Linked DNA regions of Arabidopsis thaliana. The protein of the gene in region 1 interacts with the protein of each later gene in a pairwise test. Each region holds a gene or a part of one and is shown in the gene's direction. Other genes may lie near its edges.

Evidence for each region.
Region 2: the proteins of MYB66 (region 1) and ATMYC1 interact in a two-hybrid assay, tested with the Arabidopsis thaliana proteins (2 studies listed by BioGRID, with this or other methods).

What each region holds. Positions count from the first base shown.
Region 1 is NC_003076.8:4,759,854-4,769,178, reverse strand, and holds MYB66 (myb domain protein 66), read left to right. Parts: upstream 1-4,355; 5' UTR 4,356-4,440; coding exon 4,441-4,585; exon of another isoform or gene 4,586-4,849; coding exon 4,850-4,979; intron 4,980-5,186; coding exon 5,187-5,523; 3' UTR 5,524-5,807; downstream 5,808-9,325. Other genes in the region: AO (L-aspartate oxidase), read right to left, coding at 1-46; CA2 (carbonic anhydrase 2), read right to left, coding at 6,797-6,961, 7,113-7,218, 7,356-7,441, 7,699-7,752, 7,900-8,016, 8,142-8,190, 8,306-8,455, 8,591-8,654.
Region 2 is NC_003075.7:213,844-224,790, reverse strand, and holds ATMYC1 (basic helix-loop-helix (bHLH) DNA-binding superfamily protein), read left to right. Parts: upstream 1-5,009; 5' UTR 5,010-5,106; coding exon 5,107-5,255; intron 5,256-5,381; coding exon 5,382-5,669; intron 5,670-6,009; coding exon 6,010-6,106; intron 6,107-6,231; coding exon 6,232-6,246; intron 6,247-6,390; coding exon 6,391-6,447; intron 6,448-6,548; coding exon 6,549-7,037; intron 7,038-7,115; coding exon 7,116-7,526; coding exon of another isoform or gene 7,527-7,535; exon of another isoform or gene 7,536-7,557; intron 7,558-7,610; coding exon 7,611-7,671; coding exon of another isoform or gene 7,672-7,685; exon of another isoform or gene 7,686-7,749; coding exon 7,750-7,925; 3' UTR 7,926-7,979; downstream 7,980-10,947. Other genes in the region: BAM2 (beta-amylase 2), read right to left, coding at 70-289, 388-606, 711-971, 1,099-1,263, 1,412-1,606, 1,708-1,911, 1,992-2,069, 2,142-2,369; AT4G00467 (Calcium-dependent lipid-binding (CaLB domain) family protein), read left to right, coding at 8,715-8,781, 8,864-8,929, 9,019-9,157, 9,254-9,389, 9,566-9,669, 9,849-9,945. UniProt on the Arabidopsis thaliana protein: Trancsription activator, when associated with MYB75/PAP1 or MYB90/PAP2.

The sequences.
Region 1 (9,325 bases):
CAAGATAGAAATTATGAATGTTTCCAGTAGAAACATGAGCCGCCATTTCCGACCTTAAAGCTCCTACAAAAACATGAAGATTGTTGTCATAAGAAAACATCATCAAAACAAAACAAGAAACATTCTTTCTGTACAATATAAAATCAAAATGCATAGATCCATCATCCATGATGCTCAAAATCCAAAATTTGATTGAAGAACGATGAGAATTGAGGACAATGTGTTACTCAAAATCCAACAATAACCTTTTTTATATCGAAACTTCTGAAATGAACAACGATAGAAAAAAAGACATAAGAAATATCGCAACCGTTGTCTGAATTCTGGAATTTAGGAGCAGAGGAAAGAATTAAAAAAAAATGTGTAGACTAGATCACACAAAATTCAGAATCTACGTTGAAATGAAACCAAGTAATGAGAAACGCAGAAATCTTACGGAATCACGGGAGGGAGCTCTCTGATCTAAGCACGAAACGGAGAACCCACGCGAGTGTAGATCAATAAAACGTGATTCAGACTTGATTAAAAAAACGACTTTTCGCAAAGAAACAATCAAAATTACGACGAAGAAGAAGAAGAAGAGGAGAAGGAAATGAACGAAGACAACACAAATTCTGGTAAGAGTGTTTTATGTGGTTTGGTCGTCGAGAAGAGTCCTTGAAATTCGCGCCTTCGTTTTGTGTATGGGAGCCTCCCCCAAGTGGTGTTGTTGGTCTTTCTTTATTCTTCTCTTTTGTCACTTTTTATGTCTTTGGGATCTTCATTTTTCATTGGCCTTCTTCAGTTTTTCTTTTATCACATAAAAAAAAAAGTACTTCTATGAAATAAACTTTTAATAAAAAATGGAATTTATTACTGAGTTAAAAAAAATTGGAATTTATTACTAGGCGTGGATTTTTAAAAAATTAGTGTATAAGATGATAATTTACTTATAGAATATTTCCCAGCTTTCTTCTACAAATATACACATTAATAAAGCCATTGACCCTACAAATATTCAAGTTTATTAGCCCTGTGGTTCATAATTTTTTAATATTAAGAACATTTATATATAAATAACAACGGTAGCTCAAGATGTGTGACCATGATTTTCCAAAACTAAAACTAAAAAAATAAATAAAGCAAATTAAATTTAAAAGAATTCTAACAACTTGTATAGAACTTTAAATATGTGTTCATACATGCACCAAGCATGACCGACTAGAAGAATCATGGAAAAAGAACATTCACTTTTCCATGACTCGTGGCCAATGCAAATCTCCAACGGCCACAACTATTTATTTCTATAACTATAATTTCTGGAAAAAGAAAAAAAAAATGGAGAAAAACTATTTGGATTTTGGAGTCTTCTTTTGAGTCTTTTTTTATACTTTTGATTTGTAAGTGGTGGCTTCTGAATTTTCCATCAGACAACTGAAAAAAACCTAACGAATAATAAAAATCAATAATATAAGACCGAATTATGATAACCATTCAAATGACAACTGAAAGAAAACAAATTAATTAAATAATAAAATTTCAAAAACCACGAATGCAATTTAAAAGGGAAAATGTTGGCATTTTTATGGCTATCATAATTTCCTTCTTTTCTAACTAAACATAGTGCTAATGGTTTGCTTAACTAATCAGGTATAACATCCACAATTGATGACATCCTCATTTGCTTCTATCGGAATAAACTGATTATCATTTGCTTCATCATCTTTAGACCTATGCTATTTTGGACCAGTCATGGTGTTGATGTATGCATCAAGGATGGCCTTATAACTAGAATCATGGGGAAAAAAGAACAATCACTTTTCCATGAGCCTTGCTAAATCTCCAATGGCCACAATTATTTTATTTTCTACAAAACTTACTGGAAATCACTTTGAGTCTTTTAGTTTTGACTACCGTTTTTAAGGGGAGAGATGACTTCTTCTGGATTTTTTATCGGACAACAAAAACGAATAATTAAAATTGGGCTTTTGAAAGGCGGGCCCAATACTGACCTAAGATTTTGCATGGAAATAAGCCCTGGATTTTCCAGAGGCCTAAATTAAACCCGAATCATCATGCAATTAGAATTGTTCAGCCCATAAATTTTTAATTTTTTCACACACATGAGCCGATGGCATTTCGTTGTGCTTCTTACTGAATTTCACGTCACGACTAAAACCTAGAAAATCAGCGAAACACATTAGCAAATACTAATGTTCGTCTCGTAGTTAGTCAATATCTTATTGGTAAAACTCGCACATATGTAAAAGAGCAGTGTCCTAGTTGTTCCTTCTAATGATATAAGATCATTTCCGCAAATCAAATTGCAGTTTCACCACGTAAATTAATGATAGAACCTCAACAATATAATTAGTATCAATAAGAATTAGCTATATTTATCATATTATATAATTAACATAAATAAAGTCTATTTAAATATATCATTTAGTTCGTAGCATAAATCATTACATGATTTTGAAAAGATGGTAAACTTGTGAATCACAAATTCCTTGGCCATGTATAGAATATCAAACCTGATATTAGAATCAAACAAAATTAAATGATAAGATTGTGAATAAATGAGTGTTAGGTACTTAGGTCCATCAAATTCCTCAATCATACATTCTACGACATAATTAATTATAACATTTATATGTAAAAATACACACTCCTCTTATATAGTTATGACAATAAAATGTTGTATATAAAATTACTACCCCTCTTATATATTGCCTCAACTTCCAGCGTTAAGAGTTTAATATGTCTAGAATTTTAAATGTGCCAGCTATATCAAAATATCATTGCCTCTGTTTTTCTTTCATTAGGAAGAAATATTTTTTTTAAAAAAACCATGTACAAGTATCATTGGATATGTGATATGCCCAAATAGATCATTCGAATTTTGTATGCAGAAAACTCTAATTCTTAGTTATGGATGCAAAATATTAATTATGGATCTTATTATTATTGTTTGTCATATTGCTGATAAGATTACTGATATAGTCAATTACTGAAAAGAAAATCATTTTGTTAATCTTGAATAAATAAGTCAGCAAAACAAGATGTACAATAGCAAAAATATCAACAAAATAAATTCTTTTTTTTCAAACAAAGTTAATATTTGCTTACAACACAGATTGGAAATTTCAAATATCCATCGCACATGCTATGTGACAGAAAAAAAATATGAACAATATACGTGATTATAAATTCAATAATCAATAGTAATAGTATCTATACGTAAATTAAAGATATTTGGTGGGGGCACAGAGATCAAGAAATTTTAATGATAAGAGAAGGAGCTTCTATTCTCTCTTTCTTTCTAACAATAACACTGTTTTTTTTTCCCCGTGAAGAATCCTAATCCCAAGAGAGTCAAAGTGTCAAACCATCTTCTAATTGAATATCTCCCCTAACTACAATTCCTAACTCTCATGCCACTAATCAATTACTTATTGTACATTTTTCTTTTTTTAATTAGTAACCAAATTTACAAAATTAACTCTAGGAAATCGTTTAATCCAAGATTCCCGGACGTTGGTCCAAGGGTATCACTCTACAAAATAATTATAAAAAATGACGAGGCATTTCATTTTCTAATCAATGTATTTTCTGATAAAGGATGTCATATAAACTTGGTATCTCATAAATAAAGTATCTAAACTTCAAAACGAACAACTACTATTACTTGATGAAAATAACAACACTATTATAATTAATGGTTAGTTGAGAAACAATACATAAAAAATTTGATGGAACTATGAGAGCCAGCCAGTTACTATCCTTCTCACCTTCCAATGGGTTGCGGCAAGAACCTTCACAACCTCCTTTATATTTGCGATGTGTATCTAGTCTTTTGCAATGGTCTCAAAACACTTTGGGTTTCATAAGTTTAACTATAATGGTGTCCCTGATATTTTCGGTCTAATATCTCTTAAAAAAGAAAAATACTTATGATTCATTTCAATTAATCAAGGTTCAAGAAGATATATAAACACTAGCCCTGACACATGAAACTTCGATGCCGAAAAGCTCTAAGATCAAAGCCGAATCTTTTTAAAACATACACGTGATTTTTGTGTCTCCCAAGACCATCTTAACCGGTCCATGTTTTCATGTTTTAGTTAGAAATCTAGATTAAGTCATTAAACTAATCCGTATCAGTAATTACCAGCTTGCATCTCAGAAGTCCATTATTATTTACATATCATCATCACATGCTAGACACAATCAATACCTTATGTCAATATCTAAAATAAGTCTATAATCATTAATACTTGTATTTATACCAATAGTATATCGTTTATTAAATATTATTCATACTTTATACATAAATATTCCACTAGGTTCTGAACTTGTAGTACTACTATTAATAACTCCGTCAAATAACTACTCAAAAGAACCTCTTTATCTCTCTCGTTTTATGATCTCTCTCGTCTATCATTCAAAGAAACAAAAAGAATGAGAAAGAAAGTAAGTAGTAGTGGTGACGAAGGAAACAATGAGTACAAGAAAGGTTTGTGGACAGTAGAAGAAGACAAAATCCTCATGGATTATGTCAAAGCTCATGGCAAAGGTCACTGGAATCGTATTGCCAAAAAGACTGGTCTCTTTCCTCTCTATCTCTCTCTCTAATCGTATTGACATAATTTATGAATTCTTTGTCACATGATTTTCTTTTACGAATGGTTTAAAGTTAAGGTTCTATATATTATATATGTTATTTTAGATTTAACTTTTAATCTATGTTAATAGAGTCCATATATCGCAAAAGCAACTTGAATCAGGATATTTATCTAGGGTCACCTTTTTGTTGTTTTTATTTTTATGAATTAAGGTCCTCAGTTAAATAATTGTATATGTGTGTTAGGTTTAAAGAGATGTGGAAAGAGTTGTAGATTGAGGTGGATGAATTATCTCAGCCCTAATGTGAAAAGAGGCAATTTCACCGAGCAAGAAGAGGATCTTATCATTAGGCTCCACAAGTTGCTTGGTAATAGGTATAACTTCATTTGCTCAAAATTAGTTTCTCTACTCAATTAATCATAAAAACAGCTATTTCTATCCATTTTGTATCAAGTTAAATAATCATAAATATTCGTGATTGTCTTCACAAACTTGCTTGGTAACACATGTTTTTATTCTCAAAATTTCAATACATTATATTTCACATGATAATTATATTGTTTATCTGTGTGTTTAATTAGGTGGTCTTTAATTGCTAAAAGAGTGCCGGGTCGAACGGATAATCAAGTGAAGAACTATTGGAACACGCATCTTAGTAAGAAACTCGGAATCAAAGATCAGAAAACCAAACAGAGCAATGGTGATATTGTTTATCAAATCAATCTCCCGAATCCTACCGAAACATCAGAAGAAACGAAAATCTCGAATATTGTCGATAACAATAATATCCTCGGAGATGAAATTCAAGAAGATCATCAAGGAAGTAACTACTTGAGTTCACTTTGGGTTCATGAGGATGAGTTTGAGCTTAGCACACTCACCAACATGATGGACTTTATAGATGGACACTGTTTTTGATGTGTTTTCTGCTTTTGTTATTTTAGTATTCGTTTATGTTTTGTTATTTTCAAAGCTGATCAAACACTAATACATCAACAGTCTTAGATTAAAAGTTGTTGATGTGGTAGTGTATGATTGGCTAAGTCTATTAATTAGGTGAACTTTCTTGGGTTAACTCTAATGTATATGCTTAAAAACTCTATATGCATCGATTAATGTTTTAAATGTTTCTTCAATTTCTTCCTAAGCAAAATTTTGGATTTTCTTTTGTGAATTGTTCATATAATCTTATTAAATGTTGGTTCAAGATATAAGCTAAAATTAAAAGAGTCGAACGATAACGGTAGGTTAGAAGGAGTATAGTTTATTTTTATTTTTATTTTACTTTGAGACGTACGTCCCTTAATTAATCTTCAAATTTGAAAAGAAGAAATTTCCAATTAAGTGGATACTACTACGTACCTTTTTGTCAACTAAATTTCGATTGTAGTTAAAACGATGCTAATGTGTATGTAAACGAGAAATTAGACAGAAACCTTGATTGCCCTGGCGAGTTTACTTGAAACGAACAAAATTAATACTAGTCAGACAATATAATGGGTCAAATTGTCACACTTCCCTAAAAAATTCTATAAATTGCTATGACAAAGCTGTCCCCCTTCTTAATAGTTTAATTTATGTTCTGTGTCTTTGGTTTTTAATATGTTCTTTGAAAGCTTGTCCCCCACTCCTTCCTTGATTATAATTGCTCAGACAGTTATATACAATGCATGAAACTATAGTAGTATATATATTCTAATTCTAAAGGAAGGTTTTCGATTATCGACATGGGGACATGTTGGTCATGTATAAGTATAATGGAAATGAAGAGGTTAGTATCAATCTTAATGTATACTATAGTAGCCATATCTCTAATCAAGACAAACGGTTTTAACATTTTTAATATAGATAGTACAACGCAACATTCAATGAAAATAGCAAAATAACATTTCCATTTCTCAAATTTTCGTTTGACAAATAAATAAAATTTATACGATTTTGTTATTCTCTCGTGTTGTAAATCAAAGCAACTTCAGCAAAACGATATCTGTGAAAGTAAACATGATTTATTTATTTATTTTATAACTGGATAATGAAGGAAAAGAAGCTCATCGCAAGTAAATGTATACCATTACAAGTAGCAATTAAATAAGAGTAAAACATTTATATATGAAGATGCTGATCATGATGATGACGACGATGATGATGTTTGTGATGGTGGTGGTAGCGATGGTGATGGTGATGTGTTAGTTCATATAGAATGAACGGGGGAAATTCCAAACTGGAGCTCCCAAAGCTCAAAGGAGCCATTAACAAAGTCATAGTAGCCTCCCTTCAAAGCAAGTGTTCCTTTCACAACTCCTTCTCTCACAAATGGATATGTCAATAGGTTTGCTAGTGACACATTCACTGCCTCCTGCAATATTCATACATTCATATTAGAAAACATTTCCGATAAAGATAATTTAATTATCCAATATTTATATTTTTGTTAAGGTTGATGACTATCTATGATTCTAATGAATAAATAAAGTGTTAACTGAAAAAATAAATGGAGTATTACGTACCCTTTCGCATCGGCCACATTGGTCTTCAAATGCTGAACTTTCACTTTCTGCCAAAACTTTTGACTTTGCTGGTAAACAGATTTTGACCCAATCCTCTATGAAGTCACTGCAATTAAAGTAAACATATCATTATAACTACCCACAAAAACACTTTGTTACCATTTCTCCTAAAAAGTAAATCTTGTGAAACAACTTTGTTATAATTTACTAGTTTATAAATGTCAAACATAGAAAATTTATTACGTAGAGTTGTTTCCGTCAAGAGGAAATGACATAAGCCCCTTGATGCCACCACATGCACTGTGCCCTATCACCACAATGTTTTCCACCTACATTCATAAATTTTCAATAAACATCAACATATGTATTGATGGATAATATACTCACATCACATAAATCACAACACACTAAATACAGAACGGCCCAATAAGGCCCATATACTCATCGCCTTAACCGGAGTAATAAGTAACATTGATACATATAAACTAACATGCATCCTATGAGTCAAGCAAGTTTTAGGAAAAAACACAAAACAATCTAAAGAGAGAAGAATGTATATATTGATTATTGAGGGAGAGATTTTGACCTTAAGGTGCAAGACAGCGTATTCAATGGCGGCTCCAACTCCTGCATATTTGACCTGTAATTATTTTTATAAAGGAAAAAAAAAACAGAAAAGCCATGTTATGACTTCATAAGTCAAAATCAAAGTCAAACACTCTGTTTGAGTCAGAATGTTCAAGAATAAATTAGCGATGTAAATTAATGTAGTGTATAAAGTGTTTACCTTGTCAAAAGGAGGAACCATATTGGCGATATTACGAACCACGAAGGCATCTCCAGGATGGAAGTCTAGTACGTGTGATGGGCACACTCGTGAGTCCGAACAAGCAAACACCATGTACTGCACAATTCATAGTATATGACCATATAATATGAGTCCAAAAGAAAAATCTAACATATTCATATAGAGATAACTATATTTTTCATCAACTGCTTTATATATTTTTCTTCTTATTTTTGTTTTACCTTTGGGCTTTGACCTTTGGCGAGCTCACCATACAAAGCAGGATTGGTCCTGCAAAGAAATTATAATATATATCATTAAGTTTCAAATGATGACTTGATTTTATGTTATTATAGTGGATGTATGTTAACTATAACAAAAATTAAAAGCACAATATTTATATTACTCGTATTTCTCCTTCTTGAAGGTGACGAAGCCTTCCTTAATTCGTTCGACGGGATCAAAAGATTTGCTGTCCGATGACGAGGCTGCCTGAAGCTCCGCCGTGATCTTCTTCACCTTGGCCGCAGCTACATCCTTCAGATCATCCTTCTCACTGCTCGTATATTTTTGTGATATAAAATTCAATTTTTAAAAATCCTATTAATTTTCAATTACTAGTATATGTAATCAGTCTCTCAGTTTACAAAAGTCTTCTATAAGTTTCCAATATCTTCAATATTTTACTTACATGAGAAGCTTCTTGAGAGCTTCGATGGCGTCTTCATATGATTCGTTTCCCATCCTTCTCAGTTCTGTGCAAGTCATTGACACAAACAAATTATTTATGATAAAATGATTCACTTTCCAGAAAAATCAAGTTTTCCTTACCTTAGCTAAAAAAATAATTAACTAGGATGAAAATGAGTGAAAAAGTATAATAGTAATGCTTAAAATAGTAGTTGTATCTATCTTATAGTAAATAAATAAACAGAATAATAAACAATTTTTGACTATCTGATTTCTAGTAATATGCCAGATTTAATTCCATAAATAAAGATAAAATTTATATTAAAATTTGAAATATATTAAATTTTAGTATTTATAGTCAAATTTATAAAGATTTTGTTTTATCATTTTGAATTTTAGTTTTATATATATGTATGTATATATATATATATTAGATTATATTTTTAATGTATAACTTTGGATTTAACTCCATATCTAAACTTTACTTCTAAAATTGTAAAAGGTAAAGATTGCTCACACAATAGTATGGCCATTACCTAGTAAATAATTAACCGCCAATTTATGTTGAAAACAGAGAGACCGAATTTGGTTGTGAATTAACTAATATTAATGACGAACTACAACACAGCTTTACTTTTATAAACACACCCATTCAATAACATATAGTCGTTTTTTTTTTGTATACATCTACGTATTAGTAATGACAATAATTACACGTGGCTAACTTTGAATGGTT
Region 2 (10,947 bases), on another chromosome or scaffold:
TAACCCCAGGTTATAAAACCTTGAGAAGACACTAAATTCCACTAGGAGAATATGAAACGGAAGCTATACCATGCATTCGTTTGAGGAATCTCTCAAACTCTTTGAAGTTTTGAGACTCCATCAGAGTTGGGTTAAGCCTCAGGTAAGTGAAACATGAAAGGTGGCGACCATCAGGATCGGTAAGGGGCTTTGCGTTTTCAAGTATCTTGTTGTAACCTTCTCTGTCATAACAAGGAAGAGCATTTTCACTAGCAACAGGTATACTAGCATCCCAAGCAGCATTCAGCACCTGAAAAAATTAACAATGGAAAGAAAAATTTGGCAAGTTAAGATTTTGGCCTAAACAAATTAAAGCCAATCACTTGTATAAGTTGAAGAAGTTTTGACCTGCCAAACTAGACCTTCTGGATCTGCCAGAGCCTCTGGGAAATCCTCATGTTGATCAAGTGTCCGTAACTCCACACATGTGAAGTTGAGAGCAGCATCATGTTTCTTAAACATTGCAGCTATTGGACCATAGCCATCACGGTTTGAGGAGTTGTAGAAGCCAGCAGTGAGTTCAGCAGCATGACTAGCTGTTTTATACCACCAGTGTATACCTGAGAGCTGATTTCCAAAAATGGATAGACAAACAAATGGTTCTATCAACACAAGCCAGAAAAATATAGTATAATATAGTGCACTAGCCCCATCAATAGAGCTTTGTTTACCTTTGCAGCAATGCAAGTTCCTTCGAAAGCCAAATTTGCCATAGCAAGAACACGATCACCATGGTCAATCAGAACTCTTGAGTACCAATTAAGAAAGAATCTACCATAGTAGCTGTCATAATCGCCTCCATCGCGAAAAAATCCAGTCCCATGTGGTGTTGAATTATAAGTCTCTGTGTTATCAGGTCCTCTGCCCCAAAAGCTGTGGCCTCTTACTTCTGCAGCCTCCTTTAAGCTATTCATCAAATATTTATCATAACACTGCGCAGATAGGACAGCACAGCAGAGAAGATATATCGGTAAGTAAACTAATAAATTAGTTGTCCAAATAGCAATGTAAGATAATAATGTAATTTTGTATACGCTTATGATGCGTCAAAAAGATTACCTGGAATTCACCAATACCAGGGTATTTCCACCCAAATTGTGCAGGGTATGAAGGATACCTCAGCTCCCCACATGGACCTAGTCCAACTTCAATTTCAGGGATGATTTTCTCCTCAAAGAATTCATCAAATTCCACACGAAAGCTTCTCATGTAATCAAAGTAAACCTACATAACAAGTGATTTCATAGAGTCAGTAAACACTTCTTATTACAGATCAACTTCTCATTCTTCCTACTACAACTCGCTGCAGATTACATTCTTCGAATGATAATTTGCTACAGATTTTTTAGCATGGAGTAGTAGAAAGCCATACCTCAAGAGCAGTCCGTCCTCTTAAAACACGTTGCTTGTCAATTCCCCAAGTAAGGCATTCAGTGTTACGCCTGCCAGCACTGTCAGTGAAGTAGATGTCAGGATTGCTTTGACCAATTTCTCTCACCCACTCAGGGATTTGTATATGCACATCATCTCCAACATTGCCTCCACATTCGTGAAACGACATAACAACCTGAAGTCAATTCAAGTCAAGAACACTTTAAAAAGGTTCATCCTCAACTCTGCATATCTTTCACTAAACTGAACTGAGACTCATCGATCAAATAACATTACCTGAATCTTAAGTCCAAGCTCACGAATCATCTGAAAAAGTTTCTTGTAACCACTCCAGTTATAAACCTGTGGTGTATGTGACTCAACAATTCCCCACCAGCAGTCAACCATAACACCATCAACATTAACCGACTTTAAAGTTCTTAACTGATCCAAAAGCTCCTCCGGTTCCACCACTTCCGAGTTCATATCAATCACTCCCAGCTACATCATTCAACAGCCAAATCAACCAAACACACACACAAATCTCTAGCCAACAAAAATAAAATCAAAAGAAGACTCACTGGTAGCATAACATATACAGGAACACACGCTGTGCCAGCAAAATCACGCTCTTCGAAATGCACAATTTCTTCATCAACCTAACAAAACGAAGAGTAAAATTGATTCTGGTCACAAACGAGTGAATCATCCAAATGAAATTCCACACTTACGAGCTGATCAGTAGAATCGTCGTCGTCATCAATTGGAACTCGATCTTCCTCAGTACTCTCTGCTCTCAGTTTCACCTTCGCGAGAACCAAAGGCCTAGCACCGGAAAATGTAGAAACACCACGCCAATCTCCAACGCTGAACGGTAACGAGCTCCGAGCCGATACTCTCGTCGGAGCTCCAAGCTTCACGCTCACTGGAATTACACTATGATTCAACCTAATCGCCATCACTAAACCAAAATTATCTCAAATTCAGTTAAAATTGGATTTTCGTGGAATGTGAAATCAAAAGCCACGTGAAGGCTTATTCATGGGATCCAAGAATCATTGGTTGGTTCAAATCAATTTTGAAATCCTAAAAAAGTTTTCAGGATTCACTCAGATCCGTTGAGTACAAAAGGGTTTTGTCTTTTACCACTTTTTTTCTAATCCACGTGGCGTGACCTGACACGTCAGATAAGTACGCGCGTTGCAACTTTATCAAGGGGCTTTTGTGAATATTACTATGGGCTTTTCAGAATATATTATTGGGCCTGTAAAGTCACGTCACTAAAAAAAGTAGTTTATCTACATCAAATGTGTTTATTATTTAATAACTTTAGTGTGTTGTTGTACTTGCACGAGTGTATATGAATTTAGAATAATACTATCTTAAACAATCGGCTAAGCTATTTATAATCTGTAAGATTGATACTAACGATGTAACATTAATGTATTAATCCGAAGACAGTCGTGCATTGTAGTGGCAAATGTTGTATGTCAGATGTGTCGCGTCTGTAATCAATGCGCTACGTCTCTCTGTCTTAACAAAATCATTGAAGCTTTAAATTTGAATTTCATTATTTTACAATTGCATTTCTCTCGTAAGTCGTAACTTTCATATTCATTTTTTGAAGATTTTTTAAGGATAAAATGTGAATTACTATTACCAAAAGAAACATTGTTATTTACTTTGGGACAGCTTCTAGATATGGACCCCAACAAAAAAAAAAAAAAAAAAAACTGAAACTAATACAAGTCAAGACCCAACTATAGTAACTAGGTTTGGGTGAACCATTGGGACAACAATCTTCCACAACCTTTGCGATATTGTCACGGATGGTTATGTCAATCTGCCACAAAACAATCTTAGGAGAGAACTTGAAGTGTTGTGCAATCTCTCATTTCTTTCTCTCCGAAGAAAGAAAATTGTTGCTTGTATAATGAGAATTAAAGACTTCAAGTTCTCACTCAACTTTAAATTTATCTAACTTTTCTCTTTGTCGTGGTTCATGTCGCTTCTTTTTCATCCTGAATGCAATTTGATATAGGATCCCATTGGTTAGGATTGTATATGTTTTGTAAAATTTAGGGTAATATATAGACTTTTATACTATAATTTTATTATTATATACATTTAAAAAATGTCTAGGGCATCTAAAATTAAATTAATTGTTTCTATGAAAATAGAAAATATAAACACAAACATATGGCTATAATGAGTGTGTTGTGCCAACAGAAATAATTTATAAAATTAAACACAAAGTTTTGTCGTTATGGAAATAAATGTGCATGCAACCACAAGTGGTGCGTTACTAAATTATGTAGGGCTTCGTGGATAGAGATGGATCAATTATTATTTTCACGAGTTTCTTGCCTTCATTTCAGCCAGCTCTCTCCTGATCTTGCCTTCAATTTTATTACTATTTTTTTACTGCCACTTGCTATATTTACTTACTTCGGACAAAATAGTGCTTTGATGGTAAACAAATAACGATCGGTATATGCGATGTCTCGCGATTGATTATCAAACTTGAACAGTAGTGTGTATTTGTTTAATATATAATCTATTAGAGTATCATGGAATTATTCGGGTGAAATGCGCATTTATATCTATCATAGAAACTAGAATCTTCACTATCCAAATAGTATATTCCATTTTCTTGCAACTACGTATAACTACATTCTGTTTGTCATATATTTAAGATCGAGTAACAAAAAATTAATCATCTTCATTGATGTGAGCCAGACAAAGAGTTCAATTTTTTTGGTTGTTAAAGTATGTTGATACTTGATACGTTTACCAAAACACAAAAAAACAATGTAGGTCGATACGTTCCATTTCCACACAACAAGATAGATACAAATATATAATGATTGTAAGACAATAAGACCCCGACATGTCTTAACACGAAAAAAAAAGTAACTAAGTTTATATAAACCAACACAAGTTTAACTAAGAATCTAAGAATCTCTACTTTGTTGATTTCATAAGTGTATTCATCTAAATTAGTTATAAGTACAATGTAATATCAACATGTATTTATATTGTCTCTTGTTGGATATTAACTATCCAAACCAAACCTATAATATGAAATCATCAAAACATTAATCATTATGGTCAAACTATCTCAAGTTGTATTCTTTAAAAAGTGTCACGATAAACTCTAACATCATAGTGGATTTAAGACAACACAAATCCAAAAGAGTTAAAAAGATCGGTCTTAAATTTATGATTCATATCCATGCATGATGTTGGCCAATCACCTAGTATAGTAGTAATAACCAAGCTTTTGACTAAATGAATAGGAGGAAACAAAAAAACTATATTGAATCTTTCTTTTTGCAATATTTTTCAGCATCATCACTAATTTAGAGAATATTTTACCTTGGTTTTCACCAAATAGAATCCAACACTATTACCATATGTATTGTATAAAGATAAGTCACTCCAAAAACCAAGATCATGACCCAAGTCAACCACTCTCTCTCATAATTCAGACACAGTACTCAACTTTAAAGACACTCTTTTAAGACTTTCCATCAGGACCAAGCTGAGAAAGAGAAAGCAATAAAGAAAGAAAGAAAAGGAAATAAAGCTTCAATACCAAACCCTTCTTTAATAAATTTTGCCTTTTGGTTGTCTCCTCTTTATCAATCACTTTGGTTCCATACTTTTAAATTCAGTTCTTCACGATATCTAGATATGTCTTTGACAATGGCTGATGGTGTAGAAGCTGCAGCAGGAAGAAGTAAAAGACAAAACAGCTTATTAAGAAAACAACTTGCTTTAGCTGTAAGAAGTGTTCAATGGAGCTACGCAATCTTCTGGTCGTCTTCACTTACTCAACCTGGGTAAGTATAATCTAATATTCATCATGTACCAAAATTATCAGATCTTGTTGTTCTCATCTTTGCATTTCCATTTTCTCTTCTTTTAAATCTTGGGTTACTTATGAGTACTATGTTCTACTAATTTAGGGTTTTGGAGTGGGGAGAAGGATGTTACAATGGAGATATGAAGAAGAGGAAGAAGAGTTATGAATCTCATTATAAATATGGGTTGCAAAAAAGCAAGGAGCTTCGGAAACTTTATTTGTCTATGCTTGAAGGAGACAGTGGTACTACTGTTAGTACTACTCATGATAATCTCAATGATGATGATGATAATTGTCACAGTACAAGTATGATGCTGTCACCAGATGACCTCTCTGATGAAGAGTGGTACTATTTAGTCTCCATGTCCTATGTCTTCTCTCCTTCACAATGGTTTGTTCTCTCACTCTCTCTCTCTCTTCTCCTATGAATTTGTACACTAAAATATATTAGCTCTTGTGAACTATTCATATAGAAAAACCAATTTGCAATAAAGAAGTAATGAGAAATGTCCTTTCATTTTAAGATGAAACATCCATCACTTTGGGTAAAGAGTTTAGTACCACCAAAACCATTTGGTAAATAGTGGAGTGATTATTCCTTTGGGGTTCCTTTTTGTTACACTTTCACCTTTTGCATTTTAAGTAATCCTAGATTAAGTTTTTTTTTTCTCTTTTATGATCATTAATTATTGTCATTTTGGCTTTTTTGGTTGTTTATGTATATACTTTAGTTTGCCTGGAAGAGCTTCAGCGACGGGTGAGACCATATGGCTCTGCAACGCTCAATATGCGGAGAACAAGCTCTTCTCTCGTTCTTTGTTAGCAAGAGTAAGTTCTCAGAAACTTCTAATTTCCTCTTCTTGAATCTTGATATATCAAGATCGAATCTGACTAAAAATCTCCTTTGATCTTCTTTGCTTTTCATTACTGTTCATATGGCTTCTCTCCTTTAGAGCGCATCAATTCAGGTACGTTATAATGTTTGTTATAACTGGATTCTGATTGTTAGAAATAAAAGTTTAGTTCTCTTATTGTTAGAAATGAAAGTTTAGTTATCTATATATCAATTTGGATAGAAGATTTATAGAATGTATCTGTGTTGTTATCTCCAGACTGTTGTGTGTTTCCCTTACTTGGGCGGAGTCATTGAGCTGGGCGTCACTGAATTGGTAACTCTCCATCTTAATATATAAAGTTTTACTTTTGTTGCTTGCTTCACAAGAATTAAATATACCTTACTTTGTTTAATTTTGTTCATGATCAATGAAAGATTTCAGAAGACCATAACCTGCTTCGAAACATCAAATCTTGCTTGATGGAAATATCTGCACACCAAGACAACGATGACGAGAAGAAGATGGAGATTAAGATCAGTGAAGAGAAGCATCAGCTTCCATTAGGTATTTCTGATGAAGACTTGCATTACAAAAGAACCATTTCAACAGTACTCAACTACTCCGCAGATAGATCAGGTAAGAACGATAAGAACATTCGTCATCGTCAGCCAAATATTGTTACTTCTGAACCTGGCTCAAGTTTCTTGCGGTGGAAGCAATGTGAGCAGCAAGTCTCGGGTTTTGTTCAGAAAAAAAAGTCACAGAATGTGTTGCGGAAGATATTGCATGATGTCCCTTTGATGCACACAAAGAGAATGTTCCCAAGTCAGAACTCTGGTCTGAATCAAGATGATCCTTCAGATAGAAGAAAAGAGAACGAAAAGTTCAGTGTCCTTAGAACTATGGTTCCCACTGTCAACGAGGTAATAACTCTTTTTCTAAATCCTTAGAGACAAGACTGTGTTTCAGAAGCCAACACTCTGTTTTGAATCTTTGTGCAGGTTGATAAAGAATCGATACTAAACAACACAATCAAGTACCTGCAAGAACTGGAGGCAAGAGTAGAAGAGCTAGAATCTTGTATGGGATCAGTTAATTTTGTAGAAAGACAAAGAAAGACGACAGAGAACCTTAACGACTCTGTGTTGATCGAAGAGACATCAGGGAACTACGATGATAGCACGAAGATCGATGACAATTCAGGAGAAACCGAACAAGTCACTGTTTTCAGAGATAAGACACATTTGAGAGTTAAACTCAAAGAAACAGAAGTTGTGATCGAAGTAAGATGTTCTTACAGAGACTACATAGTTGCGGACATCATGGAAACTCTGAGCAATCTTCACATGGATGCTTTCTCTGTTAGATCTCACACGCTCAATAAGTTCCTCACATTGAATCTCAAGGCCAAGGTAAATTAATCTTACTGATGTTTGGAAAAGGCAGATTTGGGTTTTCTTGACTTACACGTAACGTTTTTGGGTTTATGCATGCAGTTTCGCGGGGCTGCAGTTGCGTCCGTAGGAATGATTAAGCGAGAGCTGAGAAGAGTCATTGGTGATTTGTTTTAATGTTCTTCTTAGTAAAAATTCTTATATTTTCTTAAACTTTTGATGAAATGTTATATTTATCTAGACTTTCGTGAACCGATATGCGATGTGCCATTATCTTTACATCAAGTTTTCAGGGTTTTTGTATGTAAAGTTTGCCAAAGTTTGGTTGGAATTTTCGACAACGTTGTCTCTTCCTCTTCTACAAAACCAAGATCTATACTTATTCATAATTCATGGGCGATTTGTATCTTTCATTAATGATTGTTTTGAGCTATTATATTATTTGTATTGATAGAAAAAAATAACCAATTGGCTTTGGCTCAACTTCTTTCCCGTGAAGAGGATGGATCATATACATATCCTATTGTAATTTGAATGAACCCTATTGGGTCAAGGATCATGATCTCATGGGAAAGCTAATGAGCTTTATCCACCTCAAAGCCAATTGGTTACTAATGCTTGAACTAAATCTGTCTTATATACTAGCTAAAATTTCCATATGTTTCCGATGTGGGATTTGTTAAAGTTACTAATGCAATTTTTCTGCCGACATTATCATAATAAGTTGTACCTTAAACCTCAAGTAATTGATTTGGTCCTCATAGGCTATTAGGTTTAGTGGGCTTTTGGGCCGTATTAAACCCGTTTGATTAGAAAAGCTAGCGCTCGCCAAAAGCCCTAAACTTGTCTCGTAGCCTCAACCTCTTGATATTATGCTTCGTTTAGGTCGTCATGTGTGATTCTGTGCTTCAGTTTCTTTCTAAATCCTTAAATAAACGGATTGATATTTACTAAACGGAGGATAATGTAACTTGAAAAGGTATTTATTGAAAACTGTTGATTCTTTCTTGAATGCATAATTAATGGTGTTCTCTTGTAACTCATAGAGCCTCCAAAGAAGTAGTAAATGTTATGGTGCGTTATAAAATTTGATTGTTTCACTTGCATTATATATCTCCAATTGATGCAGCCTTCACGCTAATTACCATACACTACTTCTTAATTTCTTAAAGTCTTTTGAGTATTTGATTTTCTTGGATGTCACATATGAAGAGAGGGATATTGGAAGTATTTCTCATTGATGCTCATGGAATCACACACACAAATTTTATCGGTGATTATGAAAAGACAAAACCTTCTTCATATATGTTATATATCAAACTAAAATCGTTATTTTTAATCATTTTGGTTTGTAGGAACTCCTGTGTATTATGTGCTCTTACAATGTGGGACAAAGGAATACCGTAGCAAAATGTCAAAAGGTTCAAGTTTTGTTACTCTTTAGTAATTTTGTTTTTCCTCTTAGCCAAATGTATATTAGAAAACATTTTTGGCTCTTTTATGAAAAAAGGTGATAATGACAATGCATTGTGGAACCAAAAGTTTGTTTTCGATTTCCCGATGTCTCAATGGAAGAAACTGACCTATATCAAATTAAGAATCTTGGACAAAGAGCTCTTCAATGATGGTGGATTTGTCGGTGAAACCATGTAAGTTTTGCTTGCAGAAACTGAAGTTAATGTGGTTTAGCATTAGCAATATCACATATAGTACCATCCTTTTGTTTGTGACTCTTTTTGGTACAGAATTCATCTCGGAGGCATAATAACCGAAGGGCGTGACAGAGGATACATTGAAATAAAACCAGCTCCATACAATGTTGTTCTTGAGGACGATACTTTTAAAGGTGAACTAAAAGTCGGATTGAGATTCATTGCAACAGTAAGTAACTCGGTAACTATCCTAGAATTTCATGAGAATCTTTGTGGAGACTTATTAATCTTAGGTTCATCTTTTTACTAGTACTTTTTGGTGTTTGAGCACATTGAAATATTCAAGAACATCGACAATAACATATAATCTCAAAATTTCTCAAGAAAATTTATTTATTTTTGTAGGATAAATTGCAGAGGAAAGCATGGGAGCTGAAGATGGAGGCCAAAAACAGTGAAGAACTAATGATTTCTCCAATTCAGAATCTGATGAAACTCCCATTACTAAGGTTTCTGCTCTATTGCTTTCGGAAAACAAAACAATATCAACTAAAAGAGAACTAAAATGATTAAAAGGGTTAGCATCAAAACTCTATTAAATTTTGTTTCCAATAATTTTCTATGGTTCGGGCCTGTCAAGGAAAGCGATGACATTTATTTGATTTCTAAGTTTGTGCAAACATTTTAGGTTTATAGCTGCATGGGCAAGAAGGCAATGTCTCATCAATGCAAAACTACTTTATTGTTTCGTCGACTATAAGAAATGCCTTACTCCTTATTCGTAGCTAGGGTTTCTCGATCAACCCTTTCACGGTATCGTGATGGGCAAGAATACGAAACTGTTGATGACTTTAATCTTTTTCACCTTCAATCTTTTAATGTAATGAATGGTCTACATTTATATCTTTTGATGTAACATTTTTCTTACTTTCATTTAATTTTTCAACCCATATAATTACTAATTTTTTGCTACCTAGTTATATGTATGCATTGTCTATACTCCTTAGTTCACTTTCTATTAACTAAAATTTGTTGAATATGTTAGACATACTTATATTAAGTTTATTTTTAAAATATAAGTATATGGAACATATCTCAACAAGTAAATAAAGGTGTATATGTTGAAACTTATTAATATTGTATAATATCATAGTCCATAGTACACTAAAATAATGACCCATAGATTAAGTAAATGCGTAAAATGCGTGTACAACGAGAAAATGGGACGCACGTCTGTCTAACGCACGAACCATGCAAATATATACTTGTCTTCTCCATTACATTAACTTATCATGTGCTAAACTAAATTATAACTATACAACTCAAATTGAAACCATAATACATTACACTAATATAAATATTAACCTATTATGAGTTGCGGTTCATCGTGTAGGCTACATGGGGATAAGCCAATCTCCAACCATGTGATAATTGGTCTAATTTAATAAACGGTTGACACATAGAATTAAAATAAAATTCCCAATGGAGGTGTTACTATAGACCGACCAAAGATTACTTCTTAAAAATATAAAGGTCAAGGGATGATATATACATTGAACATTCACCCACATCTCATCTTCAATCAAAGATATTTTCATATAATTGAATACATATATGGGGTTCAACAAATTATAATTCTAAATTTACATTAGATGTCTAAATTCGTAAAAGTGAAAAGAAAATATATATAAATTGATCATTGGTCGAATGTGCAATCATCAATAACTAAACATATGTATAATTTCCCATTGGAGCTAATAATTTATTTGTGGGTGTGGAGGGATCCA